Linked DNA regions of Anolis sagrei. The protein of the gene in region 2 purifies or fractionates together with the protein of the main gene of each other region. This does not show direct contact. Links are inferred from orthologs where the notes say so. Each region holds a gene or a part of one and is shown on either strand. Other genes may lie near its edges.

Evidence for each region.
Region 1: the proteins of ZRANB1 (region 2) and SLMAP purify together in Homo sapiens (affinity purification with mass spectrometry; 3 studies listed by BioGRID and IntAct, with this or other methods). This does not show direct contact. The link is inferred for Anolis sagrei from reciprocal best matches to the Homo sapiens genes ZRANB1 and SLMAP.
Region 3: the proteins of ZRANB1 (region 2) and GCC2 purify together in Homo sapiens (affinity purification with mass spectrometry; 3 studies listed by BioGRID and IntAct, with this or other methods). This does not show direct contact. The link is inferred for Anolis sagrei from reciprocal best matches to the Homo sapiens genes ZRANB1 and GCC2.
Region 4: the proteins of ZRANB1 (region 2) and STRN purify together in Homo sapiens (affinity purification with mass spectrometry; 4 studies listed by BioGRID and IntAct, with this or other methods). This does not show direct contact. The link is inferred for Anolis sagrei from reciprocal best matches to the Homo sapiens genes ZRANB1 and STRN.

Annotation. Positions count from the first base shown.
Region 1 is NC_090022.1:57,663,143-57,670,861, reverse strand, and holds the start of SLMAP (sarcolemmal membrane-associated protein), read left to right. Parts: upstream 1-4,709; 5' UTR 4,710-4,802; intron 4,803-5,053; 5' UTR 5,054-5,998; coding exon 5,999-6,196; intron 6,197-7,719. UniProt on the Homo sapiens protein: Associates with the striatin-interacting phosphatase and kinase (STRIPAK) core complex, forming the extended (SIKE1:SLMAP)STRIPAK complex.
Region 2 is NC_090023.1:197,458,372-197,466,116, forward strand, and holds the start of ZRANB1 (ubiquitin thioesterase ZRANB1), read right to left. Parts: upstream 3,013-7,745; 5' UTR 2,667-3,012; intron 2,602-2,666; exon of another isoform or gene 2,538-2,601; intron 1-2,537. UniProt on the Homo sapiens protein: Ubiquitin thioesterase, which specifically hydrolyzes 'Lys-29'-linked and 'Lys-33'-linked diubiquitin. Also cleaves 'Lys-63'-linked chains, but with 40-fold less efficiency compared to 'Lys-29'-linked ones.
Region 3 is NC_090023.1:107,107,121-107,114,092, reverse strand, and holds the start of GCC2 (GRIP and coiled-coil domain-containing protein 2), read right to left. Parts: upstream 3,014-6,972; 5' UTR 2,902-3,013; coding exon 2,896-2,901; intron 1-2,895. UniProt on the Homo sapiens protein: Golgin which probably tethers transport vesicles to the trans-Golgi network (TGN) and regulates vesicular transport between the endosomes and the Golgi.
Region 4 is NC_090021.1:51,293,136-51,300,115, reverse strand, and holds the start of STRN (striatin), read right to left. Parts: upstream 3,007-6,980; 5' UTR 2,846-3,006; coding exon 2,495-2,845; intron 1-2,494. UniProt on the Homo sapiens protein: Calmodulin-binding scaffolding protein which is the center of the striatin-interacting phosphatase and kinase (STRIPAK) complexes.

The DNA.
Region 1 (7,719 bases), on a different chromosome or scaffold from region 2:
AAAATACTTGGCCCCTGGGAGTGAGACCTATTTAAATGGTAAAACATTGAAAAAGGCATTGGGAAGATTTTATTATGTTTTGAAATCTGACACATTTATTGTGTTTTTATGTGCAGTTTTGTGGTTTGTTAATTAGTGCCTTTGAAAATGGAAAGTTAATTTGTAAAATCAGAGAAAATGCCATGAACTAAGGCCTCATCTATACTGACCATTTAATGCAGTTCAAAGCTAGCTTCAAACTGTGGTGGCTAGAGAATAAACCTTCACAAAAAATGTTTTAAAAGCCCTTAACGTGCATCAATGCTCTGTGGTTTGGGGAATCATCACCCAGGCCTTCAACTGGTTCCAGGATTTTCCTAGGTAATCATATGTACATTGAAACCACTTTCTTCAATACTGATTTGAAACTGTATTAAATTGTCAGTGTAGGTGGGGCCCAAATCATATTTACACTCATTAGAGTAGACCAATTATGTCTATAGGATGTGTTGTCTCACCATTCAACAACTGATTGAAAGAGACTACTCTGCTTGGGACTAGCCATAGATTTTGCATTCACAGATTCAACTGCTCTTATTTTTACTGATAAAATGATTTAAAACTATTTAATTAATTAATTAAATTTGTTTTCCACATGACAACTTTCAAATATGTTTTGTTTTAGTCATTTTAGGTCCCATATTTGAAGGAAGGCAGGATATGAATTAAATAAATACAACAGAAAATCCATTATGGGGAAAAAAACATGAAATAGCTGTACAGTTCCTTTGAGTTGTTAATATGAGAAGTGCTACATTGAGAAATGCCTGAAGCATTGTGTTGTACTTCCACTTCTCCTTAATATATTCCATGTGGTAAAGATGATGTAATTAGTAGTGGAAAAACAAAGGAGGCTTAGAAGAACAACAGTCTCTATAGACCCTGTAAAATTCCAGCAAAAAAAGGGCTATTGGCAAGTATCTTACTTTCTTAACTGTGAGTTACTGTGATGTTCATGGAACTTAACAGTTCCATGAACATAAACCTACTTCTGAGTAAACAGTCAAAGAGTTAAATGGAATTTACTTCTGGGCAGCACTAAAGTAAATCTAATGCTAGTAATATTTATTGAAATAAAGAGGACCTAGGATAACTAAAACAAAACAAAATGACCATAGGTGATTTAAATAATCTTAAAGTAGATAATTAAAACATTGAACTAGGTCAGTATCTTCCATAACTTCGTCCAGTCATCAATCAGAACAGAGACTGTAGGCAAGAAATCAGAAGAAGACTACTACGACAAATAATAATACATTTTATGTTACTCGGTTCTCCTAACAGCTTGAGGTTAACAGTCAAAACATACGAAAATAAAATACATATAATAAAATATATCAATAGAAATGCACCATTATAAAAACATACATCAAATACAGGGTACAAAGATGAACATATAGCAGTAATAGAATTCAAATCCAAAATTCATGTTTCAAAGTTGACTGGGTAGGTCTGACCGAAGAGATAGGCCTTTAATTTTGGTTTAAATTTGGACAGCTCTTAAATTTGTTGGTCCTCTGGCAGATCATTCCAGAGTTTTGGGGCAGCCAATGAAAAGGTCCTCTGGGTGACAGTTGCCAGTCAGGTTCTGGTTGGTTGGAGTAGCTGACCACCAGATGACCTCAGTGTCCTAAGAAGGTGACCCTGTAGGTAACCTGGACCCAAACCATGTAGGGAGCTACAAAGGCTTGGAAGGGAAATTATGAACTAAATAAGATCCTGAATTGTAAGGATATATTATTAAATACTAAAATTAGAATTGCCCATGCCATCATGTTTCCAATTTCTATGCATGGTTGTGAGCGCTAGAAGCAACAAAAGCTGATAAGAAAAAAAATGAAATAATTTGAAATGTGGCGGAGAAAGGTTCTATGGATACTGTGAACTGCTGAAAAGACAAATGAATTAATTATATAATAAATCAGGTCTAAACTCTCCTAAAAAGCCAAGATGACTAAACTGAGACTGTTGTATTTTGGACTTAGCATGAGAAGACATGACACACTAGGAAAAAAATGACAAAGCTTGGTTGAGGATAGTATGAAAAGACTGCAGGTGGATGGATTCAAAGAGACGGTAAGCAAAGAGTCAAAGGCTTGGAAACCAATCCCTATGAGGGAGCTGGATATGTTTAGCTTGGAAAAGAGAAGATTGAGAGGAGATATGTTTGTCATATTTAAGTGCCTGAAAAGATGTCACACTGAGGAGGGGGCAGGCCTGTTTTCTGCTAGTCTGGAGACAAGGAGCAATGAATTCAAACCAAAGGAAAATAGATTCCTCTTAAACATTAGGAGGAACTACCTGATGATAAGAGCTGCTTGGCAATGGAATATGCTGCCTGGAGTGTCCTTCTCTGGGGGTTTTAAAGCAGAGGCTGAATGGCCAACTGTCGGGGGTGCTTTGTTTGTGCTTTCCCTGCATGGCAGAATGGGATTGGACTGGATGGCCCTTGGGATCTCTTCCAACTCTATGATTCTGATTCATTAATGGGGCCACCGTAAGCTGAAGTTAACTCGATCACAACATGACTAAAAAGGCCCATCAATTTCCACTTTAGATGGTGCCAGCACTGGATTTAAATCCAATGTTAATGCAATGATGACTGCCAGAAATCTTGAAGGAACACAGGCATTTTTTTCACAGGCAAGGGACACTTAGAGCCCTTCTACACAGCCATATATCCCAGAATATCATGGCGGAAAATCCCACAATATCTGTTTTGAACTGGGATATATGGCAGTGTGGACTCAGATAAGCCAGTTCAAATCAGATATTGTGGATTATCTGCCTAGTTATTGATGACTCCACACTGCCATACATCCAAGTTCAAATCAGAAAACGTGGGATTTTATTCAGCTGTGTGGAAGGGGCCTATGTGTTAGTTTTCCCAGATCCTGTCTCAGAAATACAGCCTGGAGTTAGTTGGCAGCCTCCCATCCAAGGTCCCTTCCACACAGCCATATAACCCAGAATATAGAGGCAAAAAACCCCACAATCTCTGCTTTGAACTTAAATATATGGCAGTGTGGACTCGGGGTCCTTCCACACAGCCCTATATCCCAGAATATCAAGACAGAAAATCCCACAATATCTGCTTTGAACTAGGTTATCCGAGTCCACACTCCGATAATGTGGGATTTTCTGGGATATAGGGCTGGGTGGAAGGACTCCTGAAGTTTTCAGATTTTTGGACCATTTTCAACCCCAAACTATTCAAATTTGCCCTCGGACATGGTGCTTTTTCTTCAACATCCAGTGACTGTATTTCTATACACAAAAAGATTGTCTACAGCTGACATCATGAAGTGGCATAAAAGTATTGCAAGGACAAGAATTGGCCTTTATTTGCAAAATACTTGGCCACTGGGAGTGAGACCTACTGAAAATGGTAAAATGCTGAAGAAGGCATGGGGAAGATTTTATCATGTTTTGAAATCTGACACATTTATTGTGTTTTTATGTGCAATTTTGTGGTTTGTTAATTAGTGCCTTCGAAAATGAAATTTATTTATTTATTTAGAGCTTTTATAACCCGGTCTTCTTGACCTCTGAAGAGGGACTCAGGGCGGCTAACAGCAGAAAATTCAACACAAATATAGCAAACATAATATTTATTATTTATTACTTATTTATTTACTTTGCTTATATACTGCTGTATCTCAAGTCCGAAGGCGACTCACAGCGGTTCACAAACAGTAAAAACAGTAGAAACAGCAGTGGTTCCATACAACATATAACAATTGACTTAACACATTATCCATAAATTACCAATAAGCAATTACAATGCACAATTATTACAAAATAATTAATTAATAGCATCATAATACATTAATACAAAATACACTAAAATACAGATCATACAATATCATACAATTACAAAAGCCAGGGCTGGTTAATTTGTAAAATCCGAGAAAATGCCATGAACGAAGGCCTCATCTACCCTGACCATTTAATGCAGTTCAAAGCTAGCTTCAAACTGTGGCGGCTAGAGAATAAACCTTCACAAAAATGTTTTAAAAGCCCTTAATGTGCATCAATGCTCTGTGGTTTGGGGAATCATCACCCAGGCCTTCAACTGGTTCCAGGATTTTCCTAGGTAATCATATGAACATTGAAACCACTTTCTTCAATACTGACTTGAAACTGTATTAAATGATCAGTGTAGGTGGGGCCCAAATCATATTTGCTCTCATTAGGGTTGATATCCTGGGATATAGGGCTGTGTGGAAGGGCCCCAAAACTAGCCAGGACAGGCCCTGCTCGGCCTCCAAGACCAGATGGGATTTCGGTGAGGGCATTTGGCACCACACAGGTGTCATGGATCCAGGCTGTGGGGCAGTCCTGATCTTTGAAACATTCTGAATTAACTTTTTAGTTCCCCTGAGGACAGCGAGAGCATTATTTTGCCCGCCTTCCCATAGAAGACCTTTCCCCGCTCGCTCTGGATAAAGGACAACACTGAACTTCAACTAGGGCAACAACCTCCTCTTGTGTTCCCGAAGAGATCCGGAAGCGGCCCGGTTAGTTCAGGGCAACCAGCCGGAAGCCACAGGCTTCGCGTCCCCTTTCCGCGCATGCGCTGCCCGGGCGCGCTGCGGCTCTGCGCCTGCGCAGAGGAACCCGGGCGTCCCTGAGCTTTGCTTTCGGCTCCTCCCCCTGCTCGGCTCCCTCCTCCCCCTCCCCCTCCCTCCCTCCCTCCTGCTGCTGCTGCCATACCGGGTAGGTTTCCAGTCAGTATGGCGGCTCCCACTGCGGCTGGGAAGGTAAGAGCGGTTGGCGAGGGAAGGGCAGGGAAGGGAGGGGAGGAGGAGAAGGAGAAGGAGAAGGAGAAGAAGGAGGGGAGCTTCCCGCTTGGCTGTCCTTCCTTCCTTCCGCGAAGGGCGGCCCTCTTTCCTTCCCTCGCTCGCTCGCTCTCTCCTGAAGTGGGAAGGCGGCGGTTGGGCCGGCCTCCCCTCCCCGCTTCAGCTTCCCCGGCGTTTGTTTTGACGCTTCTCTTCTCTTCTTTTTCCCACAGGTCGGAGGAAAGTTTTCCTCGTCGACGGACTCCTGAGGGAGGCAGAAAGCGAGAGAGAGAAGGTTGGGAAGGCAGGCAAGAAGGCGCCAGGCCTGCACCTCAGCCAAGAAGAAGAAGCAGCAGCAGCAGCAGCAGCAGCAGGAGACACCTGCAGTGCCCTGGCCCCTCTCCTTCCCCTTGGCCATCGCCTGCTGTCAGATCTGCCTCCCTGCTCAGGAAAGGCCACCGCCTGGGATGCCTTCCCAGGTGCATGGAGCCCTCTTGGCCGGGAAGAGCGCTCCCCTGCCTCCCAGGAGCATTGGGCGGCCGGCCCTTTGAGTCCTCCTGCCTGGGCCTGAGGAGGAGGAGGAGGTGGTGGTGGAGGAGGACAGGCTTCTTTCTCCCTTCGCCTTGAGGTGCCTCACTCTGCCTTGATGCCCGAGGAAGACGAGCCGTGGACTCACCCCTGGACTGGGCTGACCACCTTTTTCTCACGTTGGGTTGTTTTGCAGTCCTTTGGCCCTTCCTTCCCCCGTTTCCCCACTCCCTGAATCTTGCCCCGCGCGAGGGAAACTCCTGGGCCCTGTTGATGGAAGGGAAAAGCGCGATTACATCCCAAACAGGAATTTTCGCGTGAGTCATTCGCTTGGAGTTATAGCCATCCCCACCTTAATTTAACAAGCTCTGTTCCTCTTCAGATGCTTGTCCTCATTATTGACAGACATGGATTAAAGTGGAACTTTGCAGACTCGCTGCCGGAGACAATGGGGCTTTTTTGCTGGATTATTGCCCGCACTGGTTCACACACTGAAAGTATGCGTTGTTAGATCTCACTGGCAGATAATGTTTGCCCTGCTTTAATGTGAAGTGTTGCGAGGTTTTTGCTCATCAACTGTGGAGGGTGGCTTGGGTCAAGAAGAGTTTCTCTTCTTTCCTGGTTGGTGTGGCACCGCATATCTCTCCTCGATGCCTTCAGCCTTGGCTATCTTCACTTGCCGCCCGAACTCTCACCCGTTTCAAGAACGCCATGTCTACCTGGATGAGCCTGTCAAAATTGGGCGCTCAGTGGCTCGATGTCGACCCGCTCAGAATAATGCCACCTTTGACTGCAAGGTCCTGTCTAGGAACCATGCGCTTGTCTGGTTTGATCAGAAAACAGGAAAGGTAAGACACCCTACATTCCCCAAGAGAAGTAAAATAAACTTTGCATTTCCTTGTTTTCATTAGGGCAGTGGTTCTCAATCTGTGGGTCCCCAGATGTTTTGGCCTTCAACTCCCATAACTTGAAACGTAAACTCCCATAAATCTTAACAGCTGGGATTCCTGGGAGTTTTAGTAGATTCATGGGAGTTTTTGTTTATTTATTATTTATTTATTTACATCACTTTTTTCCCGCCCATTTCAGCCCGAAGGCAACTCAGGGCGGCGTTCAAATCGGCAACAATTACATGCCGTATATAAATACATACATCAGTTAAAAGCAAAAAATTACATCAAATACATTAAAAACCATAAAAGCAATAAAAACAATAAAATTATAAAACTATGTCTTCCTGTTCAATTCCTGTAGTTTTAGCAATTACACAAGTGGGGGAACTTCAGGGGCTCATTTCTCCCTCATTTTTACAGCTGTTGGGGAGGAACTTGCTACAATGGTAGAACACATTTACCACTGTTAGCCCATCAAGTGTCAGAACATTTCACTTAACCACAATATTTTGGGGAAATTTCAAAGATTTTACGAACAACATTTAAAAATAAAAGCTGCAAGAACTATCTCCTTGAATTGTCTATACAGTGACCCAAAATAATAGGGGATCATTTTCCTCAACTTTAAGAAATATTCATACATCTACTGATTTTAGGAATTTTTTTGACAAAAACCTTTTTTAAAAAATAGCTACAACATTGAATGTCTCTCATATTAACTAATAGAAGAAAGAAATATTAACCAATTCTTCATTTTCACAAAAAATCCTAGAGTTGGAGGGGACCCCCAAGGGACAACCAGCCCAGTGGTTCTCAACTTGTGGCTCCCCAGGTGTTTTGGCCTACAACTCCCAGAAATCCCAGCCAGTTTACCAGCTGTTAGGATTTCTGGGAGCTGTAGGCCAAAACATCTGGGGACCCACAGGTTGAGAACGACTGATCTAGCCCAACTCCCTTCTTCCAGGTAGAAGGGCACCATCAAAACTCTCCTGGCAGGTGGCCATCCAGCTTGTAAACCAAGGGCCATCCATTTAGGGATTTCTTCCCAGCCCAGCACTGATTTAAATAAATAAATAAATAAATAAATATTATTATTACTTACTAGAAGTATCCCCAAAATCCTGGGGACCCACAGGTTAAGAACGACTGCGTAACTGGTTGGCCTTGCTTGAGCCTCATAGACTAAAACTCAGAATTAACATTTAATAAATGGCATCTACTAAATAAATATGGATAAAGGTGTCCTAGCTGTTTTAAGCTTTTCTCAGTACAATATTGAACTATGATTATTGGATTTGGATCCATGTTAGGTTACTTACTTATTTGTTTGACATAAGTTGTATTTAGCTTTTCACATTTATTGATTTCATTGGGGCCTAACTACGACAACTAACCTAATTTAGAGCCTCAACAGTATTTTCTGAATGACTGTAATCATATCAGGTGCTATGAAGGATTTGAGTTTTTTTTAAAAAAAA
Region 2 (7,745 bases):
GATTGCAAAAAAGTAGGTAGATATTTGACCCTGAAAGCAATAATATGCAATCAGAAGAATGAACAGTTATAGTGTCATTACTCATGACATGCTGGAAAACAATCCCTTGGTCATACCAAAAATGTGTGATTACAAAACTGCAAGGCATAAACTCGACTGACTTTGGAGGTATTCTGTTCTCATCTCACCAATGCTACTATGTGGTGGTATGGGTAATATACTAAAGATCAGAAGAAGGAGTAAAATACAAAAGATATGTGTCTATTAATTAAATCCCCTAACACATGCAAATTCAACAAGAGGACTGCAAGATACAAGGTTTGAGGGGTATACAATTCTTTCAAACTGAAGAAACATACAGTCTAAAGAGCTACTGCTGTGAAAGACTGATATGGATTACTAGATGTTGATTTCATTATTTAAGCAATGGTGAATAATTTAACTACCATGTCATTAAAACAAGCAGTGTTTGCATCATATTTGTAACAGAGGAAGAGAGAGTCAGACACAGGTTATCATCTATGAATAAATGAGGAAGAGGAGGGGCGGAAGATGGAAGAGGTATGACCTCACTGTAGTAAGATGTAGGGACTGCAGCACTAAATGTGGATAACTATGCACACAGAAACATCCCTCTGATGCATATGCCAAGCTGAATTCAACACATTGCTGACGGATGTAGTGGGTGGACCATAACCAAGCATTGACTGTAGCAAATCCCCCCTTCCTTGTTGAATGCAGAAGTGATGCCATCAAGGCAAACCACAGCGTCTTTTAAATGCCGTCGCACCAGCATCAAGGCAAGCAAAACAAGAGTTGCAATACTTCGTGGTTTCCTCCAGAAAGCCTGAGAGAGGCAGCAAGTGACTCAGTACAACATCAGGTACGCATTAATACTGTTAAAAATTCAGAAAGCCAACCCTTGGCTGAGCCACCGTCATGCGCTGCATTTCCTGGTAAACAACAAGGCAGTTGCAACAGCAGCATCCCTCCAGGGCAGGTGCCTCCAAATCCCAAATCCTCGCAAGGGACTAGGCTGGTGATGTCATTACATCCAAAACACAAGCACAGCCTCCCTGTAATAGTTGGCCTTTATCGACACTGCCAGAAAAAGCAGTTTGGAACTGCATTATATGGTGAGTGTAGACTCACAAAATACAGCTCAATGCAGTTCCAAACTTCACTACATGGCAGGGGTGATAGGGCCTCTTGCTCAGCTCCCCACCACCACAACGTAAAAGTTTTAGAAAATCACCTTTCTCTCGAAAAGATCCCTTTCCTCACCCAAGCAAAAACCTTTCAAGGACAAAAACCCCAGAAATGGGGGGGGGGGGGAACAGGCCCAATTTGAACAAAATGTGACTGTTTTTAAAGGTGGCAAGAAAGAGGTACAACGATCACAAGATAAAATACCAGGAGCATCTCCTATTTGAAATACAATGTTGTTTTGAAGGAGAGAGGACAGGGGAAAGAAAGAGATAAAACTCCCACAAGATAAAGCCCAGGAACTTCTCCTATTTTAAACCAAATGGGACTGTTTTTCAGAGGAGAAAAGAAAGAGGGACAACTCTCACAAAATAAAGCCCAGGAACTTCGATTTAAAACAAAATCGGAGTGTTTTTTTTAAAGAAAGAGGTACAACTCTCACAAGATAAAATCCTAGGAGCATCTCCTAGTTTAAACAAAATGGGTCTGTTTTTTAAAGGGGAAAGAAAGAGGTACAACTTTCACAAGATAACATTTAAGAACTTCTATTTAAAACAAAACGGGACTGTTTTTTAAAGGGGGGGAAAGAGACAGAAGTCTTAGCAGATAAAATCCTAGGAGCATCTCCTAGTTTAAACAAAATGGGCCTGTTTTTTAAAGGGGAAAAGAAAAAGGTACAAATCCCACAAGAGACAGCCCAGGAACTTCCATTTAAAACAAAATAGGAGTGTTTTTTTAAAGGTACAACTCTCAGAAGACAAAAGCCCTTGAACATCTATTTTAAACAAAATGGGGCTGTTTCTTAAAGGGGAAAAGAAAGAGGTACAACTCCCACATGATAAAATCCTAGGAGCATCCAATAATTTGAAATACAATGTTGTTTTGAAGGAGATAGGACAGAAAGAAGTACAACTCTCACAAGATAAATGCCCAGGAACATCTCTTATTTAAAACAAAATGGGACTGTTTCTTAAAGAGGAAAAGAGGTACAACTCTCAGAAGATAAAATCCTAGTTTAAACAAACTAGGACTGTTTTTCAAAGGGGGAAAGGTAGAGGCACGACTCTCACAAGGGACAGCCCAGGAACTTCTCCTATTTGAAATACAATGTTGTTTTGAAGGAAAGAGGACAGGGCAGGGTCCAGCTCTTCTAAAGGAGCGGCCTTTCTAAGGCATCCTTTACCCTGACTAAAAAGGGAGGCCAAAAGGAACCAAATTAAACTGAAATGGCGAAGAGGAAAGCAGGGGGAGGCCCTTCACAAACCCCCCTTTCCCCCCAAAAGTGCAACCCCCCCCCCCCCCCGCTTTCCTCCTTCAAAGAAAGGCCTCACCAAGTCCATCTCCCTCAGGAAGCTTCGAAGTCCCGAAAGGTAGGTTCTGCTGTTCCTCCTCCTCCTCTTTCCCTAATCCCGACCCCAACACAAACAACCCCATAATGGAGGAGAAGAGCTCTACTTTACCTTCCAGGGCCGTTCTTCTAATCCGGCGGCGGCGGCGGCCTCCTCAGAAGCACCAGCTGCGGCCCATTCCCCTCCGCCAGCCGCCCGCCTGCCTGCCTCCCACCCACCCCAGCCTCCCCCCCGCGCGCGCTCAGGACATGGTTTCTTCCGGCTCTGGGAGGGCAAAAGGATGTGGGAAGTCGAAGGGAGGGCGGTACCACTTTGGCCAAAAGGGGGAGGAGGAGGAGGACCTAATGGCGGCGGCGGATGGAGTGTCCCAAAGCAAAATAAACCCCCGTACGGCGGAGAGAGAGAGAGAGACGGGAGCTCGCACGTCAGCCCGCCCGACTTGATGCCTTCCCTTGCGCTGATTGGCTAGCGGGAGGAGCCTTCCCTGCCAATGGGGACGCGCCTTTTTGGAGACGAGCGACTGATGTCATCCCAGTCTTTGGGACGCCTCATTGTGAAGAGGCTGCAGGGGGGGCGCTCTCCTCAGTTCCCCTCCTTGGCGTCTCTTCCCCCCCCCTCCCGAAAGGCATAATAACACTGCCCATATATATCTCTCTACACAACACACATACGTGAGGGGAAAGGCCGAGGCCTAGCTCAGCACGCCTCAAGTAAACAAGGCCGCAATGGCCTGTTCAGAGCAATTGAGGAACGTTTGTTTCCTCCCCATAAAGGCTGTAGTTAGTTACACCACTGGCGTATGTGTCTCTATCTTAGGTACTCGAGGAGAGAGCTTTGGCCTGCACTAAGTTTCACAAGACTCCAGCAATACATGAAGAGAGAGTTGGCAGATGTACAAGCTGGGTTTAGAAAAGGCAGAGGAATGAAACCAGATTGCCAATATCCGTTGGATAATGGAGAAAGGCAGGGAGTTTCAGAAAAACATCTACTTCTGCTTCATTGACTATTCCAAAGCCTTTGACTGTGTGGATCATAATAAATTGTGGCAAGTTCTTGGTCGTATGGACATACCAAGCCACCTTGTCTCTCTCCTGAGGAATCTGTATAAGGACCAAGTAGCAAGAGTAAAGAGTAGAGACATCACACTGGCAACAAAGATCCGCCTAGTCAAAGCCGTGGTATTCCCAGTAGTAATCTACGGATGTGAGAGCTGGACCTTAGGGAAGGCTGAGCGAAGGAAGATAGATGCTTTTGAGCTGTGGTGTTGGAGGAAAGTTCTGAGAGTGCCTTGGACTGCGAGAAGATCCAACCAGTCCATCCTCCAGGAAATAAAGCCCGACTGCTCACTGGAGGGAAGGATACTAGAGACAAAGTTGAAGTACTTTGGCCACATCATGAGGAGACAGCAAAGCCTGGAGAAGACAATTATGCTGGGGAAAGTGGAAGGAAAAAGGAAGAGGAGCCGACCAAGGGCAAGATGGATGGATGGCATCCTTGAAGTGACTGGACTAACCTTGAAGGAGCTGGGGGTGGCGACGGCCGACAGGGAGCTCTGGCCTGGGCTGGTCCATGAGATCACAAAGAGTCGGAGACGACTGAACGAATGAACAACAAGCAAGAGTAAGAACTGACCATGGAACAACAGACTGGTTCAAGATTGGGAAAGGTGTACGGCAAGGCTGCATACTCTCACCCAACCTATTCAACTTGTATGCAGAACACATCATGCGATGTGCAGGGCTTGACAAATGCAAGGCTGGGGTGAAAATTGCTGGAAGAAACATTAACAACCTTAGATATGCAGATGACACCACTTTGATGGCCGAAAGCAAGGAGGAGCTGAGTAGCCTTCTAATCAAGGTGAAAGAAAAAAGCGCAAAAGCTGGGTTGCAGCTAAACATTAAAAAAAACAAGATTATGGCAACAAGAATGATTGACAACTGGGAAATAGAGGGAGAAAACGTGGAGCCCATGAAAGGCTTTGTATTTTTAGGTGCAAAGATTACTGCAGATGCAGACTGCAGCCAGGAAATCAGGTGACGCTTACTTCTTGGGAGGAGAGCAATGACCAATCTTGATAAAATAATGAAGAGTAGAGACATCACACTGGAAACGAAGATCCGCATAGTTAAAGCAATGGCATTCCCCATAGTCACCTACGGATGTGAGGCTGAGCGAAGGAAGATAGATGCTTTTGAACTGTGGTGTTGGAGGAAAGTGCTGAGAGTGGCTTGGACAGCGAGAAGATCCAACCAGTCCATACTTCAAGAAATAAAGCCTGACTGCTCATTGGAGGGAAGAATAGTAGAGGCCAAGATGAAGTACTTTGGCCACATCATGAGAAGAAAGGAAAGCTTAGAGAAGACAATGATGCTGGGGAAAATGGAAGGAAAAAGGAAGAGGGGCCGACCAAGGGCAAGATGGATGGATGGTATCCTTGAAGTGACTAGATTGACCTTGAAGGAGCTGGGGGTGGTGACGACCGAAAGGGAGCTCTGGCGTGGACTGGTCCATGAAGTCACGAAGAGTCGGAAACGATTGAACGAATGAACAACAACAAAGTTTCAAAAAATAAGGCCTCGCAAGTCCTGGCAAAAAGCCTGTGTGATGTGTTGTATAATATCTCTCCACAATAGAATGAGGTGTCTTGGGAAGAGAAGCGGACAAATGTCAGCGTGCTAGAAGAAGCAGAGAAGCAGTATCAAAGCCATGGTCCTCAACCATCAACTCCTCTGGACTGGATGCTTGACCACCGTCTCCCAAAGCAGTTGCTCTACTCCGAACTCAAAATGGAATGTTGGTGGGCAGGAAAAGAGATTTAAAGATGGGCTCAAAGCCAACCTTAAAAACTCTGGTATAGACACTGAGAACCAGGAAGCCCTGGCTCTTGAGTGCTCCAGATGGAATTCAGCTGTGACCAGCAGTGCTGTAGAATTTGAAGAGGCACGAATGGAGGGTGAAAGAGAGAGACGTGCCAAGAGGAAGGCGCATCAAGCCAACCCCGACCGGGACCGCCTTCCACCTGGAAACTGATGCCCTCACTGCAGAAGAAGATGCAGATCAAGAATGGGGCTCCACAGTCACCTACAGACCCACTACCAGTACACCAATCCCTCTCCAACGCCAGAGATACAGCTTAATGGTGTAACATTAAAAAATGTTGACCATTTCTGCTACCTTGGCAGCCACCACGTCACCAAAGCCAGCATCGACATCGAAATACAACACCACCTGAGCTCTGCGAGTGCAGCATTTTTCCAAATGAAGCAGAGAGTGTTTGAGGACCGGGACATCCGTAGGGATACCAAGGTGCTTGTTTATAAAGCTATTGTCCTTCCAACCCTGCTATATGCCTGCGAAACGTGGACTGTCTACAGACATCACATGCAACTCCTGGAACGATTCCATCAGTGCTGCCTCCGAAAAATCCTGCAAATCTCTTGGGAAGACAAGCGGACAAATGTCAGCGTGCTGGAAGAAGCAAAGACCACCAGCATTGAAGCGATGGTCCTCTGCCATCAACTCTGCTGGGCCGGCCACATTGTCCGGATGCCTGACCACCATCTCCCAAAGCAGTTGCTCGACTCCAAACTCAAGAACAGAAAACGGAATGTTGGTGGACAGGAAAAGAGATTTAAAATTGGGCTCAAAGCCAACCTTAAAAACTCTGGCATAGACACTGAGAACTGGGAAGCCCTGGCCCTTGAGCGCTCCAGCTGGAGGTCAGCTGTGACCAGCAGTGCTGCAGAATTTGAAGAGGCACGAATGGAGGGTGAAAGAGAGAAACGCCTTCCAAGAGGAAGGTGTGTCAAGCCAACCCCAACTGAGAACGCCTTCCTCCTGGAAACCAATGCCCTCACTGTGGGAGAAGATGCAGGTCAAGAATAGGGCTCCACAGTCACCCACAGAACCACAAGAATACTGATCATGGAAGACTTACTCGTCCAATGAGGGATCGCCTAAGTAAGTAAGTAACTGTAAATCCCAGCAACTACAACTCCCAAATGGCAATATCAATCCCCCTCCCAACCCCATCAGTATTCAAATTTGGGCGTATCAGGTATTTGTGCCAAATTTGATCCAGTGAATGAAAATACATCCAGATATTTATATTACAATTCATAACAGTAGCAAAAATACAGTTATGAAGTAGCAACGAAAATAATTTTATGGTTGGGGGTCACCACAACATGAGGAACTGTATTAAGGGGCTGCGGTATTAGGAAGGTTGAGAAGTGCTACACTAGACAATGCTGATACAAAATCCAATTCACCCCTTTCCAGAATGCCTCAGGCTAGATCTACAGTGCCATATAAAGCAGTTCCAAGCTGCATTATATGAATAGCATAGACATATAAGGTAGTTCAATGACTGTGTTATATTGCTCTACATTGACCATACAGTGCAATTCCAAACTGCATTAAATGGCAGTGTAGATCCAGCCTCTGAAACAGATTCCCCAGTTAGAACTACTGAAGAAGAGAAACTAGAAATGACCTGCACTCCTTCCCACTCCCACCAGCTATTTTTAGATAATCTGCTGTTATAGATAGCATCCGCAAAGCCCACCGCACATTACAAGAGAAGAAGTACCAAAATTAGCATCATAGAATTGGAAAGGACAGCAAGGGATACTTAATCCAAACCCCTGCCATGCGGGAATCAGCTTCTAAAGCTTCTCCGTGAAGTGGCCTTTTAATCTCTGTTTTAAAACTTCCAAAGGAGGAAAGTCTGAGGCAGTATCTTCCACTGTCAAATATCTGTTAGCATTAAGAAATTCCTCCTCAATCTTTATTCGGAATGTCTTTGACTGTAATTTGAATCTATTGCTTTGGGTCCTGGTGTCTAAAGCAGCAGAAAACAATTTTGCTCCAAGGCAGCCAATTGTGAGAAGTATGTTTCTTACATATATTTTGAACCTTCTGAATTGTTCAATCCACCCAAGAAGGAACGCCTAAGTCCTTGAGGCTCCATCTACACTGCCATATCATCCTGTTTCTGAAGCCAAATTATCTGCTTCGGACTGGTTTATATGGCAGCATAGTAAAGGTAAAGGTAGTCCCCTGACATTAAGTCCAGTCATGTCTGACTCTGGGGTGTGGTGCTCATCTCCATTTCTAAGCCGAAGAGCCAGCGTTGTCCGTAGACACCTCCAAGGTCATGTGGCCGGCATGACTGCATGGAGCGCC
Region 3 (6,972 bases), about 90 Mb from region 2:
TTTCCTGCTTCTTGGCAGAGGGTTGGATTGGATGGCCTACGAGGTCTCTCCTAACTCTATGATTCTACTGTGATAGGGATAAATCTAGCCTTCTTCTATCCAGAGGTGACAAGTTTCCTTTCATTTTCTAGATACTAGGAGGTGTTCGTACATTTCTGCTTCTATTTTAGAGTAATCATAATGTAGTGGATTGCTTGGCACCTGAACTGATTAATCTTAATAATGGTCTGTTGAAATAAACAAAGAACATCTTCATATCTCACACTTTCAAGCTGGTTAGTTCCAAATAAACCCAATTCCAATCAGCCAGCTTGTCAAGTTCAGGTTAAATGATATACCAAAATTAATCTAAATCAGAAGTGAACACTTTCAAAGTTTTCAAAGATGTAGAGAAAGACTTTGCAAAGGTAGAAGGTCTATTTCCATCACAACACACCATGGCTGAGTAGCAGGTGATATGTCAGTATAGTTGTGACACACGAAATCACAATATCAGACTACATGAGTAGCTTCACATTGGGATTAAACAGCTTGGGAGGCAGAAAAATGAACGAATCAAAGGAACAACAATTTACCTAGGCAGGCTTTCTAACAGACAGAATGCTAATTCAAAAACACGACCCCCAAAATACTTTTGACCTCTGGTAACCTGATCATAAAATGTTATCCCTATAATTTTTACTCACTGGATTTTATTTTTTGTGCTTAATTTTCTCTTCAATGATAATAAACTATCATATAGTCTACTTACATTTCAGCATCTCAACATTGAAGTTGAAAGGGCAGGAATCAACATTGTATAATATTTATAAACAGGGTAATTCCATATCCACACCCTGCAAGCTACTATTATGAATAATTCAAACTGTTACTTAGCTACCATAAAGATAAATTATTTTAATGTTTGATTTTCACATGTATGAGGTTGTTGCTAAAGCAAAAACAACTGATCAGTTAAGAGAGGGGCGGTCAATAAATGCAAATAATAAATAAATAAATAAATAAATAAATAATTTTAAGTATTCCATATATGTGATTTACAGAACACCTCTACACAGATGTAAGCCTCTCTTAGCAGTGGCTGTTGAAGTCATCAGACACAGGATTTTTGCCTACATTTTAGACACAATTGGAAGTGTCAAACCTGTCATCAAGGGCCAGTGAAAACAGGGAATACTGTCATTCCCAAGGTCCCAAAGCTTGGGATCAAGTGAATAACCACAATAACTGTGCAGTGAAATGGTCTGTGTATTGTATTTCTGCTTTATCTATTTAAAAGTGCAAGAGGCCAGCAGGAAGAGCAGAGTTTCACCCAGTTTTTCCTTCCTGTAGTTTGCTGTTTAAATAAGTAAATAAACTTTATTTATACTTCACCACCATCTCCCTGAAGGGGCTTGGGCGGCTTACATGAGGCCAAGCCCAGAAGTGCACTTCAATACAGTAAAATAAAAAGCATAAAGCAAACATTACAGTAAAATAAAATAAATCAAGCATAAAATATAATAAACAGTGCAAAGTAATACAATAGAAAATCAAACACAAGCACAATGAATGGGCCACATGTGCAAGATACAATGATAAAAACTCAAGATGAGATAAAAACAAAAACCTATATATCTGTAAGGGAGACTCATCAACCGAGTGGTAGAGACAGTCCTTCATGTGGGCAAGAGACAATGCAATATGAGGACACACATTATAGGGGAGCATGACAAGGGAGATGTAAGATCAGTCTCCAAAAGCACAATGGAAAAGCCACGTTTTGAGGTTCTTCAAGGTTTCTAAGGTGGGGAGTAGCCTAATCTCACTGGGCAATGGGTTCCAGAGTTGGGGGGCCACTATGGAGAAAGCTCTCTCCCTCGTTCCCACAAGTCAGGTTTGTGATAATGGAGGGGGCGAAAGGTATGGATCTGCTTTTGCACAGTACTTTTAACCATACTAGTAGGATGAGTCAGGGGTGTGTGTGTGGGAAACAATATTCATAATTTTTATTGTAAGGGGGAGACTTGAGAAACTGCAAGTCATATTATTATTATTATTATTATTATTATTATTATTATTATGGTGTGAGAGAATTGGCCATCTGCAAGTACATTGCCCAGGGGACGCCCAGATGCTGTACCATTCTGGGAGGCTTCTCTTATGTCCCCACATGAGAAGCTGGAGCTGACAGATGGGAGCTCACATCGCTCCCCAGATTCAAACCACTGGCCTTTTGGTCAGCAGTCGTGATGGCACAAGGGTTTAACACATTGCACCACTGGCGGCTCCTCAATACTCATAATGAATGGCCATGAATTCAGGCTTGCTGTTGCTGTGTGCACCATTATGTCCTTTCAGACTAAAGTGACTCTACCAAGGGTTTTCTTGGCAAGAATTGTAATGGGATTTCTGAGGCAAAGAGTGTGATTTGTCCAGGGAGGGAGGATTTCCATGGTAGAGGATTTGAACTCAGGTCTCCAGAGCTGTAGTCCATTATGCCAATTAGCATTTGGTACTGGATGTCAAAACCAATCTAGAATCTTAAGATGCATCTATACTGTAACATTAATATAGTTTGACACCACTTTAACTGCCATGGCTCCATGGAAATGAAATCCTCGGAGTTGTAGTTTGGTAAGGCACCAGCCCTCTTTGGCAGACAAGGCTGAAGGCTCCTAGGAGTCCACAGCATGGAGCCAGGGCAGATAAAGTGGTGTCAAACTGCCTTCATTCTACAGTGGGCCTCCTCCCCGCCTCAGGCAACGCAAATGCGGGTCAGCTCCAAGTGGCGGAGCCCCCTCGCTCGAAGTCAGGAGTGAAAGGCGACTACACTGCTTCAGACCCGGGTCAACCTGTCCACACGGCAGCCCAGAGCCCTCAGCCCCTGCTTCCCTCGTCACCCGGTCCGGTTACCTCCATCGCGGGGCAGAGAGGCACGAATGGAAGAAGGCTCCCTCAGCGCATCTTCTTGCAGCAATTCACAGGCACCACTTCCGCCTTCGTCACTGCCCCTCCGCGCCCACCTCTGACGTCAATGAAGGCGCTCTCCACTTGCGATAGCGTTGCCATGGCCACCCGTTCAGGAAACGCCTTCCCGAGAGCAGCGCCCTCCTTCAGGCCACGCCCCTCGCGCGCGGGGTTCTGTGATTGGTGGAGACGGGGAAGCAGCGCCGTCAGGGCAAAATCATCGCTGGGATGTTTTCCTTTGCGGCATTACGCTGCCTCTCCCGTCTAATCTCGGAAGCTAAGTAGGTTCAGCCCTGGTGAACGCCTGGATGGGAGACTACCAACCGATACCAGCTTTTTCAGAGGAAAAAAATGGCACAATCTCTTCCGAGTATTCCTTACACATAACTATTATGAAATTATGGAGTTGCCATAAATCAGTAAGCGATTTAAAGGCACAGACACACAAACGTATTTTCTTCCATATGTTGGGAAACACATATTTACTCTGTTGAATAACAAAATGTGATAGTGATCGCGTTGAATAAGCACTTTATTGTTGTGTGCCTTTAAATTATTTTGAGCTATGATGATGCCGTCGCATTGCCTTCCCTGAAGCTGAGAGAGTGTGACCTGCTCAGGATCACCCAGTGGACTTCTATGGCTGAGCAGGGATTTGAACCCAGGTCCCAATGGTCAGTTACACCACACTGGTTTATCTAACTAGGTATTATATGTGGTGCAGTGGGTTAAAGCACTGAGCTGCTGAACTTGCTGACCGAAAGGTTCATATCCTGCTGTTAGCTCCAGCTCCTGCCAACTGAGCAGTTCTAAAACATGCAAATGTGAGTAGATCAATAGTACCGCTTCGGCAGGATGGTAATGGCGCTCCATGCAGTCATGCCAGCCACATGACCTTGGAGGTGTCTACCGACAACGCCGGCTCTTCGGCTTAGAAATGGAGATGAACACCAATCCCCAGAGTTGGACATGACTGGACTTAATGTCAGGGGAAAACCTTTACCTTTACCTATTGTTATAATGATTTGTTCATTTGATAGATGTGTGTATGGCATCAAATTGCTGCTTGTTGTAAGGCCACCTTGAGTCAGTCTCCTTCGGGGTGAGAAAGGCAGGATATAAAAATAAATAAATAAAGCAGATAATCTGGGATCAAATCCTGGGATATAGCTCAGTGTAGATCCCGCCAGAAGGCCCTTCTACACAGCTCTATATCCCACAATATCAAGGCAGAAAATCTCACATTATCTGAGTGTAGACCTTCAGATAACCCAGTTCAAAGCAGATATTGTGGGATTTTCTGCCTTGATATTCTGGGATATAGGGCTGTGTGGAAGGGCCCTTAGTTACCCGTTATCCACTCCTCTCTCTTATTTAATAACTCTACCACTGATTGCCTTAACCTCTGGATACCTCTGAAATAATTTTCTAGAACACCTTGACGGTTGTGTGTGGTGTGTGTGTTTCTGCATTTTGTAAACTGCCCTGAGTCCCCTGTGGGGTTGAGAAGGACAGGATATAAATGCAGTAAATAAAATAATAATAAATAAATATAGTAACTTTTGTACTGATTGTGTATTATTCAGTTAATGCTGGAAATGTTTAGCTTTTCATTTTTAATCCTAAAGGGGTTCAACCTGAATAAAATCTGGAAAATGCTGAATAAAATCAGATATCAGGCACTGCAGACTACTTCAACCAGAGAAGTCAGCCATAGCAGAGCACCTGATGAACCAACCTGGACACAGCATATTATTTGAGAACACAGAAATGCTGGACCACTCTCACAACCACCATGTCAGACTACACAGAGAAGTCATTGAAATCCACAAGCATGTGGACAATTTCAACAGAAAGGAATAAACCATGAAAATGAACAAAATCTGGCTACATGTATTAAAAAACTCTAAAATTACAACAGCAAAACAACAGAGAGGAAACAATCAAGGACATCTAATCACCTCTCAACAAAAGATTGCACCAGGCACTAACAAGCCACACACACAAAAAACTGCCAGGCCATAAAATGCTAATCAAGGTGGTCAGTTGAAACATTCACACCTAGCTCCAACAGACAAGAGTTCTTTGTCCCACCCTGGTCATTCCACAGATATATAAACCCAATTTTCCTAGTTCCAACAGACCTCACAACCTCTGAGGATGCTTGCCATAGATGCAGGCAAAACGTCAGGAGAGAATGCCTCTAGAACAGGGGTCCTCAAACTTTTTAAACAGAGGGCCAGGTCACAGTCCCTCAAACTGTTGGAGGGCCGGATTGTAATTTGGAAAAAACATGAATGAATTCCAATGCACACTGCACATATCTTTTTCGTAGTGCAAAAAACACTTAAAAACAATGCAATAATTAAAATGAAGAATAATTTCAACAAACATAAAATTATTAGTATTTCAATGAGAAGTGTGGGCCTACTTTTGGCTGATGAGATAGGATTGTTGTTATTGTTGTGTGCTTTCAAGCCGTTTCAGACTTAGGTTGACCCTGAGCGAAGGCTGGGTAAATGACCTTGGAGGGCCGCATCCGGCCCCCAGGCCATAGTTTGAGGACCCCTGCTCTAGAACATGGCCATATAGCCCGAAAAAACCTACAACAACCCAATCATAAATCTCCATTGGAACCAGCAAGCTTCATCAGAAATGTACCATTTTTTACTGAAGTGAGATTTTTTTCTATGTAGCTCGAATTGTTGGCTGCTGTCAGTTTTAGAAATATATACTTTTCTCAAAACATATTTCTTGTCAGGATACAGGATTATGAAGAAAACAAAATGAGTACTTTTGAGAACCTTAGACAGATGGCTATGTATAAGATTAATAAGACTCAGAGCTACAGTCAATCTTTGTATTATGTTTGGACTATAGAATAGCCAGAGAAACCAGGGGAAAATGATTAAAAGTCCAATCATACTGAGGTATAAATACTCAGTAATATTCCTGTACCTTTGTATTATGTAAAGAAAAGTGAGGGTGGGGGTTGACAGGTTGGAATGGGGAGGTGGTGGGAAATAATACTTGTATTTTGATTGTTGAATTTCGAAGATTGTATGTTTCTCTCTCTCTCTCTCTCTCTCTCTCTCTCTCTCTCTCTCTGTGTATTACAATAAAAATCTATAAAAATGTATTTCCTTGTCTGAAAAACATAATCCAGCTACCCCCTTAAAAAAGGAAAACGTCTTGCCTGTTGGCTTATTTATAAGCTTTAGTATTGATACAGAGCAATTGGCAAATGGGATATTTGGTGCACAGGTTAAGAAGCCCTGGTTTATTCCTTATGGGACATATTCCACTGAACATAATGTACTATATAATCTCTATAAAGGCATACAGATTATATGGTATTGATCTCTATGGCTTCTTCAAATTTTCTTTGTGCTGCTGAGGATCAGGATGTTCTCTTCCTATTACCCTCTGAGGCTGGATTACTATTGGCTGCTTCTCTCTTCCAATCCTCTAAATGTGGGCTATAAGTTCCTTTGGACAGGGATGGTCATATTCTCTTATATCACTCTGAATTCCCTAAAGAGATTACAGTCCAAATTCAGTGGATGGGAAGGAGAGGAAAAGGGGGAGACACTTTTTCTAACTAAATTATTGCCATCAAGATATTGGTTCATTCCTAATAAGGGGCAAACATGATTTATTCCAAACCAAGTTAGGTAAGATTAATTTGTCACTGTTGCCTAATAGCTTTTGTCAGATTCTCAGTGCGGTCCCTCACCTTCTCCCTCACCACCAAAAGGTTAAGAACGACTGGAGTAAACATTCCTTTTCATGTGACTATTGCCTGATACCATTTGGCATTTATCCTTCTTTTTTAAAAAATGCACAAAGTTTTTTTTTCATTAACAGCATGTTAGTATTCGACACTACAGTGTATCATTTCCTTCCAGTGCCCTTCAGATCAATAACAAACTTTTGTCTTAATGTTGTCATCAAATCTCAGCACTTTGTGTGGAACATCCAAAGTTATCCCAGTTCTACATTTATTTATTTTTAGATGTTTAT
Region 4 (6,980 bases), on a different chromosome or scaffold from region 2:
GGCCCTTCCCCTGAACTATGAAAATAAAAGCATGATAATAATAGTGTGATAAAAGGAGCCCCCGGTGGTGCAGTGGGTTAAACCACTGAGCTGCTAAACTTGTTGATTGAAAGGTCGCAGGTTCAAACCCGGGGATCAGAGTGAGCTTCCGCTGTCAGCCCCAGCTTCTGTAAACCTAGCATTTCGAAAACATGCAAATGTAAGTAGATCAATATTTATTTATTTATTTAAAACATTTATATTCCACTCTTCTCACCATGAAGGGGACTCAGGGCGGAGCACAGCATATATACGGCAAACATTCAATGCCGAGAGAAGAATTCATAGAAGTATACATAAACATTAAAAACATTTATCAAAATATTAAAAACCATCTTGGTCATCTGCGTCAAATCTAATTGGACTGGTAAAGTTTCCTAGGTACCGCTCCGGCGGGAAAGTAACGGCGCTCATTGTAGTCATGCCAGCCACATGACCTTGGAGGTGTCTATGGACAATGCCGGCTCTTTGGCTTAGAAATGGAGATGAGCACCACCCCCCAGAGTCGGACATGACTGGACTTAAATGTCAAGGGAAAACCTTTACCTTTACCCTTAATAAAAGGAGCCCCTGTTGGCGCAGTGGGTTAAACCCCTGTGCCGGCAGGACTGAAGACCGACAGGTCGCAGGTTCGAATCCGGGGAGAGCGTGGATGAGCTCCCTCTATCAGCTCCAGCTCCCCATGCGGGGACATGAGAGAAGCCTCCCACAAGGATGGTAAAAACATGAAAACATACGGGCGTCCCCTGGGCAATGTCTTTGCAGGTGACCAATTCTCTCAGAATTTTCCTCCAGCATCATAGTTCATAAGCATCTAGCTTCCTTTGCTCAGCCTTCCTTATGGTTCAGCTCTCACATCCATAGGTTACTACGGGCAGGCATGTAGCCCCCCAAGGCCCCCCCCCCCCGAAATTCTCATGGTGGTTCGCGAAAAGGCCTTTCTGGTGCATTATTTAAACTGTTATGTTTATTCATATCATGATCTGATCACCATACTCAATATATCCCATACAAAAGGTTTGCTAGGGTAGACCCTCTTTCACTCAGACTCAGCCCCCCCCCCCCAAACAAACTCAGCCCCCCACCCCGAATTGAAATCCTGGCTACGGGCCTGACTACGGGGAATTTTAATTATTTGTCGTGTCTGGACAACCAGTCATATTATATTACATTTCTAACAGAACAAAGCAAACAGACAGACAGAATACACAATTTGTGAGTTTGGTAGTTGATTAAATGTCCTTTGACCAGTATCTGGCCACTTGGGAGTGCTTCTGGTGTTGCTGCAAGAAGGTCCTCCATTGTGCATGTGGCAGGAACCAGGTTGCATTGCAGCAGGTGGTCAGTGGTTTGCTCCTCTCCACACTTGTATGTCGAGGATTCCACTTTGTAGCCCCATTTCTGAAGGTTGGCTCTGCATCTCATGGTGAGGAGTGCAGTCTGTTCAGTGCCTTCCAAGTCACCCAGTCTTCTGTGTGCCCAGGGGGGAGTCTCTCATCTGGCATCAGCCATTGGTTGAGGATCTGGGTTTGAGCCTGCCACTTTTGGACTCTTGCTTGCTGAGGTGTTCCAGCGAGTGTCTTTGTAGATCTTAGAAAACTATTTCTATGGGGAATACCACTGCTTTAACTATGAGGGTATACGAGAGAAGCCTCCCACAAGGATGGTAAAAACATAAAAACATCTGGGCATCCCCTGGGCAACGTCCAATTTTTTCACACCAGAAGCAACTTGCAGTTTCTCAAGTTGCTCCTGACACGACCAAAACAAAAAACCCTTAATAAAAGGAAAGCACTTCAAGAAACGGTTGAGAAGGGAGGGAAAGGGGGAGGAGAGGCAGGTAAGGAATGAATGTGTGGGCAATGTCTTTGCAGATGGCCAATTCTCTCACACCAGAAGCGACTTGCCGTTTCTCAAGTCGCTCCTGACACGATTAAAAAAAACCCTTAATAAAAGGAAAGCAATTCAAGAAACGGTTGAGAAGGGAGGGAAAGGGGGAGGAGAGGCAGGTAAGGAATGAATGTGTGGGCAATGTCTTTGCAGATGGCCAATTCTCTCACACCAGAAGCGACTTGCCGTTTCTCAAGTCGCTCCTGACACGATTAAAAAAAACCCTTAATAAAAGGAAAGCAATTCAAGAAACGGTTGAGAAGGGAGGGAAAGGGAGAGGAGAGGCAGGTAAGGAATGAATGTATGTATGACACCATTCCAGCAACACCAGAGGAACTCCAAGTGGCTAGCTACTGGTCAAAGGACATTTAATCAACTACCAAGCTTGCAAACTTTGTGTTTTGTTTGTTTGTTAAAAACATGATACATAAATAAATAAACACCACTGCCACCAGGGCTGAAGGCTGTGGGGTCCTGGGAGCTGTAGTTTGAGGAGGAGGCGAAAGGCCTGGTCCAAAACTTGGCACTCCCAGGCTGGCCCAGCCTTGCCCGAGAAGGGACGCACCTGCAGCTCGGCCCTCTCGGCCTCCCACTCGGCGCGCTCGGCCTCGAAGCGGCCCCATTCGTGCTGCAGGAAGTGGAGGATGCCGGGGACGCTGTACTGAGCCCGCGCCGCAGAGGCCGGCACCGCCGCTCCCGAGGAAGGAGAAGAAGAAGAAGGAGAGGCACCCGCTGGGCCGACGACGCCTCCCGCCGCTGCCACAGCCGCTGCTGCTGCCGCCGCTGCCGCCGCTTCCCCAGGCTCGGCCTGAGAGGAGGAGGAAGAGGAAGAGGAGGCCGGCGGCGGAGGCAGGAGCAGCGCGTTGTTGTTGTTGTTGTTGCTGAAGAAGACGCCGGGCCCCGCCTGCTCGTCCATGGCCGGAGAAAGAGCGAGGGAGCCGGAGAGAGAAGGCCCTCCCCTCTCTTCACAAGCAGCGACGACGACGCCTCAGCCGCCGCCGGGGAAGCGGCGACCAACTGGGCGCGCCCGTCCCCCGTCAGCGCCTGACAGCTAACCGCCCCCGCCGGGTGCTGCTGCTGCTGCTGCTGCTACGGCGCCCCGCGAGGGACAAACTGCCCCGCGCGCGCTCTTCCGCGCGGAGAGGCCCGGGGCATGGCGGGAAGGGTAGTTCCCAGCAGCCCTTCCTGAGTCTATCTAGCCACATCAAGCATAGGCAAACTTGGGCCTTCCCTCCAGGCGTTTTAGACTACAGTTCCCATAATTCCTGGCCTCAGGCCTTTTCTTTTCCCTCTCATTCGCTTAAGGAGGCCAGGGATTGTGGGAGTTGAAGTCCAAAACATTTGGAGGGAGGGCCCAAGTTTGCCCAGGCCTGGGCAAACTTGGGCCCTCCCTCCAGGTGTTTTGGACTTCAACTCCCACAATTCCTAACAGCCTCAGAGAACCTGTGGCCATTAGGAATTGTGGAAGTCTCCTCCCTCCTGATGTTTTGGACTTCAACTCCCACAATTCCTAACAGCCTCAGAGAACCTGAAGCCATTAGGAATTGTGGAAGTCCCCTCCCTCCAGGTGTTTTGGACTTCAACTCCCACAATTCCTAACAGCCTCAGGGAGCCTGAGGCCATTAGGAATTGTGGAAGTCCCCTCCCTCCAGGTGTTTTGGACTTCAACTCCCACAATTCCTAACAGCCTCAGAGAACCTGTGGCCATTAGGAATTGTGGAAGTCTCCTCCCTCCTGATGTTTTGGACTTCAACTCCCACAATTCCTAACAGCCTCAGAGAACCTGAAGCCATTAGGAATTGTGGAAGTCCCCTCCCTCCAGGTGTTTTGGACTTCAACTCCCACAATTCCTAACAGCCTCAGGGAGCCTGAGGCCATTAGGAATTGTGGAAGTCCCCTCCCTCCAGGTGTTTTGGACTTCAACTCCCACAATTCCTAACAGCCTCAGGGAGCCTGAGGCCATTAGGAATTGTGGAAGTCCCCTCCCTCCAGGTGTTTTGGACTTCAACTCCCACAATTCCTAACAGCCTCAGAGAGCCTGAGGCCATTAGGAATTGTGGAAGTCCCCTCCCTCCAGGTGTTTTGGACTTCAACTCCCACAATTCCTAACAGCCTCAGAGAACCTGAGGCCATTAGGAATTGTGAAAGTCCCCTCCCTCCAGGTGTTTTGGACTTCAACTCCCACAATTCCTAACAGCCTCAGAGAACCTGAGGCCATTAGGAGTTGTGGAAGTCCCCTCCCTCCTGATGTTTTGGACTTCAATCCCACAATTCCTAACAGCCTCAGAGAGCCTGAGGCCATTAGGAATTGTGGAAGTCCCCTCCCTCCAGGTGTTTTGGACTTCAACTCCCACAATTCCCAACAGCCTCAGAGAACCTGAGGCCATTAGGAATTGTGAAAGTCCCCTCCCTCCAGGTGTTTTGGACTTCAACTCCCACAATTCCTAACAGCCTCAGAGAACCTGAGGCCATTAGGAGTTGTGGAAGTCCCCTCCCTCCTGATGTTTTGGACTTCAATCCCACAATTCCTAACAGCCTCAGAGAGCCTGAGGCCATTAGGAATTGTGGAAGTCCCCTCCCTCCAGGTGTTTTGGACTTCAACTCCCACAATTCCTAACAGCCTCAGAGAACCTGAGGCCATTAGGAATTGTGGAAGTCCCCTCCCTCCAGATGTTTTGGACTTCAACTCCCACAATTCCTAACAGCCTCAGAGAACCTGAGGCCATTAGGATTTGTGGAAGTCCCCTCCCTCCAGATGTTTTGGACTTCAACTCCCACAATTCCTAACAGCCTCATTGAACCTGAGGCCATTAGGAATTGTGGAAGTCCCCTCCCTCCAAGTGTTTTGGACTTCAACTCCCACAATTCCTAACAGCCTCAAGGAGCCTGAGGCCATTAGGAATTGTGGAACTCCAAAACACCTGGGGGGAGGGCTGAAGTTAACATCCTTCCCTATCTATATTTATTTATTTGCTAGCCGTCCCCTGCCACGCCTTGCTGTGGCCCAGTCTGGTGATCTGGAAAAGGAAGTAATGAGAAAGTAATATTGGCTTCTAATATATGTCCAGCAGGCCAGGTTGTTGACTGGTGCTCCTTACAGAGAGAGGTCAACCCTCCTGTTTAAGGAGCTCCATTGGCTGCCGTTCATTTTCCGGTCCAAATTCAAGGTGCAGGTGCTTACCTACAAAGCCCTGAACGGTATGGGACCCGTCTACCTGCGTGACCACATCTCCGTATATGAACCCACACGTTCCCTCCGTTCATCTGGAGAGGCCTTGCTTGCGATCCCACCTGTGCCACAAGCGCGCTTGGTGGGGACGAGAGACAGGGCCTTCTCTGTGGTAGCCCCCCAACTCTGGAACACCCTCCCCAAGGACATCAGACAAGCCCCAACGTTGGCAGTCTTTAGGAAGAGCTTGAAGACCTGGCTGTTCCAGTGTGCCTTTCCAGAATAGGAAACTCCCAGCATCATGTCCCAAACGCACTTTATTAGAGATTTAAGACTGTCTGCACATTGCACCTATCCTAGAATCCTACATTTCACCTGTCATGTCCAGCATTTTTAACTGTACCCATTACATTTGGCCCGGCCATAGTTTTTAAATGTGCCATGGTGTATTGTTTTATTGTTTATTGTTACTGCTTTAATGTTTTTTGATTTGCTTATGAGTTATATAATGTATTGTTATGTTGTTGTTTTATTGAGGGCCTCGGCCTTTGTAAGCTGCATCAAGTCCTTCGGGAGATGTTAGCGGGGTACAAATAAAGTTAATAATAATAATAATAATAATAATAATAAATGTAATTTCTTTATGCTTGCGGGTAAACAGTATTTCTTGCTGATTCTTTGTCAGTATTGATGTGGAGATTGTTTGGTTTGCCTCCTCTGGAATATGCAACATATAATTGTCCTTCTTTATGGGGTCCCTTTCATGATACCATATCTACACAGAATCATATTTATCTATATCTATGGCTGGATGGCTCTTTGTCTTAAAGATGCAGCTATTTTTTCCTCTCTCCCCTTTCTTTTCTCTTTTCATGCTGTACTTTTGAGGTTTTCATTCGCTGTTTTTCCTGCTGTAACTTAATAATAAAAACACAAGGGCTGATTTTGGCTTTTATTTAAAGTGATCAAAGGGAAAAGCTGTCCTTCAGAAGCCAAAAGATCATCCCTAGCTAAAGGCTCTGAGATTTCTCATTGAGTGAGCCTGCTGCTCCAAGTCAATGGATGTATTATAATTACAGCTGTTTTAAAATATTAAAGGAAACCCCAAAACAAAAGTGCAACTGTTTTAGCCAAGAGGAAGAAGAAACGCCATTGGAGTAAAGGAATCCTGAATAGATTGACTTATTTAAGACATACAGACAGATAGGCAAAAACACATCCAGCTTTGGGGCAAGTCAAGGGATTTCTGAGACACTGGTCCCATCTACACTGCTATATAATGCATTCGTAATGCAGTTTAACTGCACTGAAATGCATTACATGGCATTGTGAACTCGTACAGTGCAGTTCAATGCAAATAAACTGCAATATGAAACTGCATTATATGGCCATATAGATGGGGCCACTATTTTAGAAGAGGGTCTCGAAGTGAAAAATGCTGCTTATTCTAGTCTACCAAAGCTGGCTCTGCAAGTCTTGTAAGATTTGGATACCCCAAAATATAATGACAATATGAACCCAGTGTCCTATTCTCATGTAAAATGTTAAAAAAGTTCTTATGTAAAAATCCATGAATAATACATGCTTATTATAGGTATCTTAGAGACTGGGGGAACATCGATCCTGCAGAATTAATGCACATTGACACCACTTTATTGGCCATGACTAAATGCTATGGAATCATGAAAGTTGTAGTTTTACAAAGTCCTTATTCTCTGGCAAAGAATTCTGGTGCCTCACCAAACTACAAATCCCATAATCCCACAGCATTAAGGCATCTTCCACCTCTTTAGGTTCAGAGAGGACACCCTTATCTGAAAGCACACTTTCTTGGCAATCCGACTCCTCTCTATCTAATTCTTTATGGTTCCAGAGGATGAGT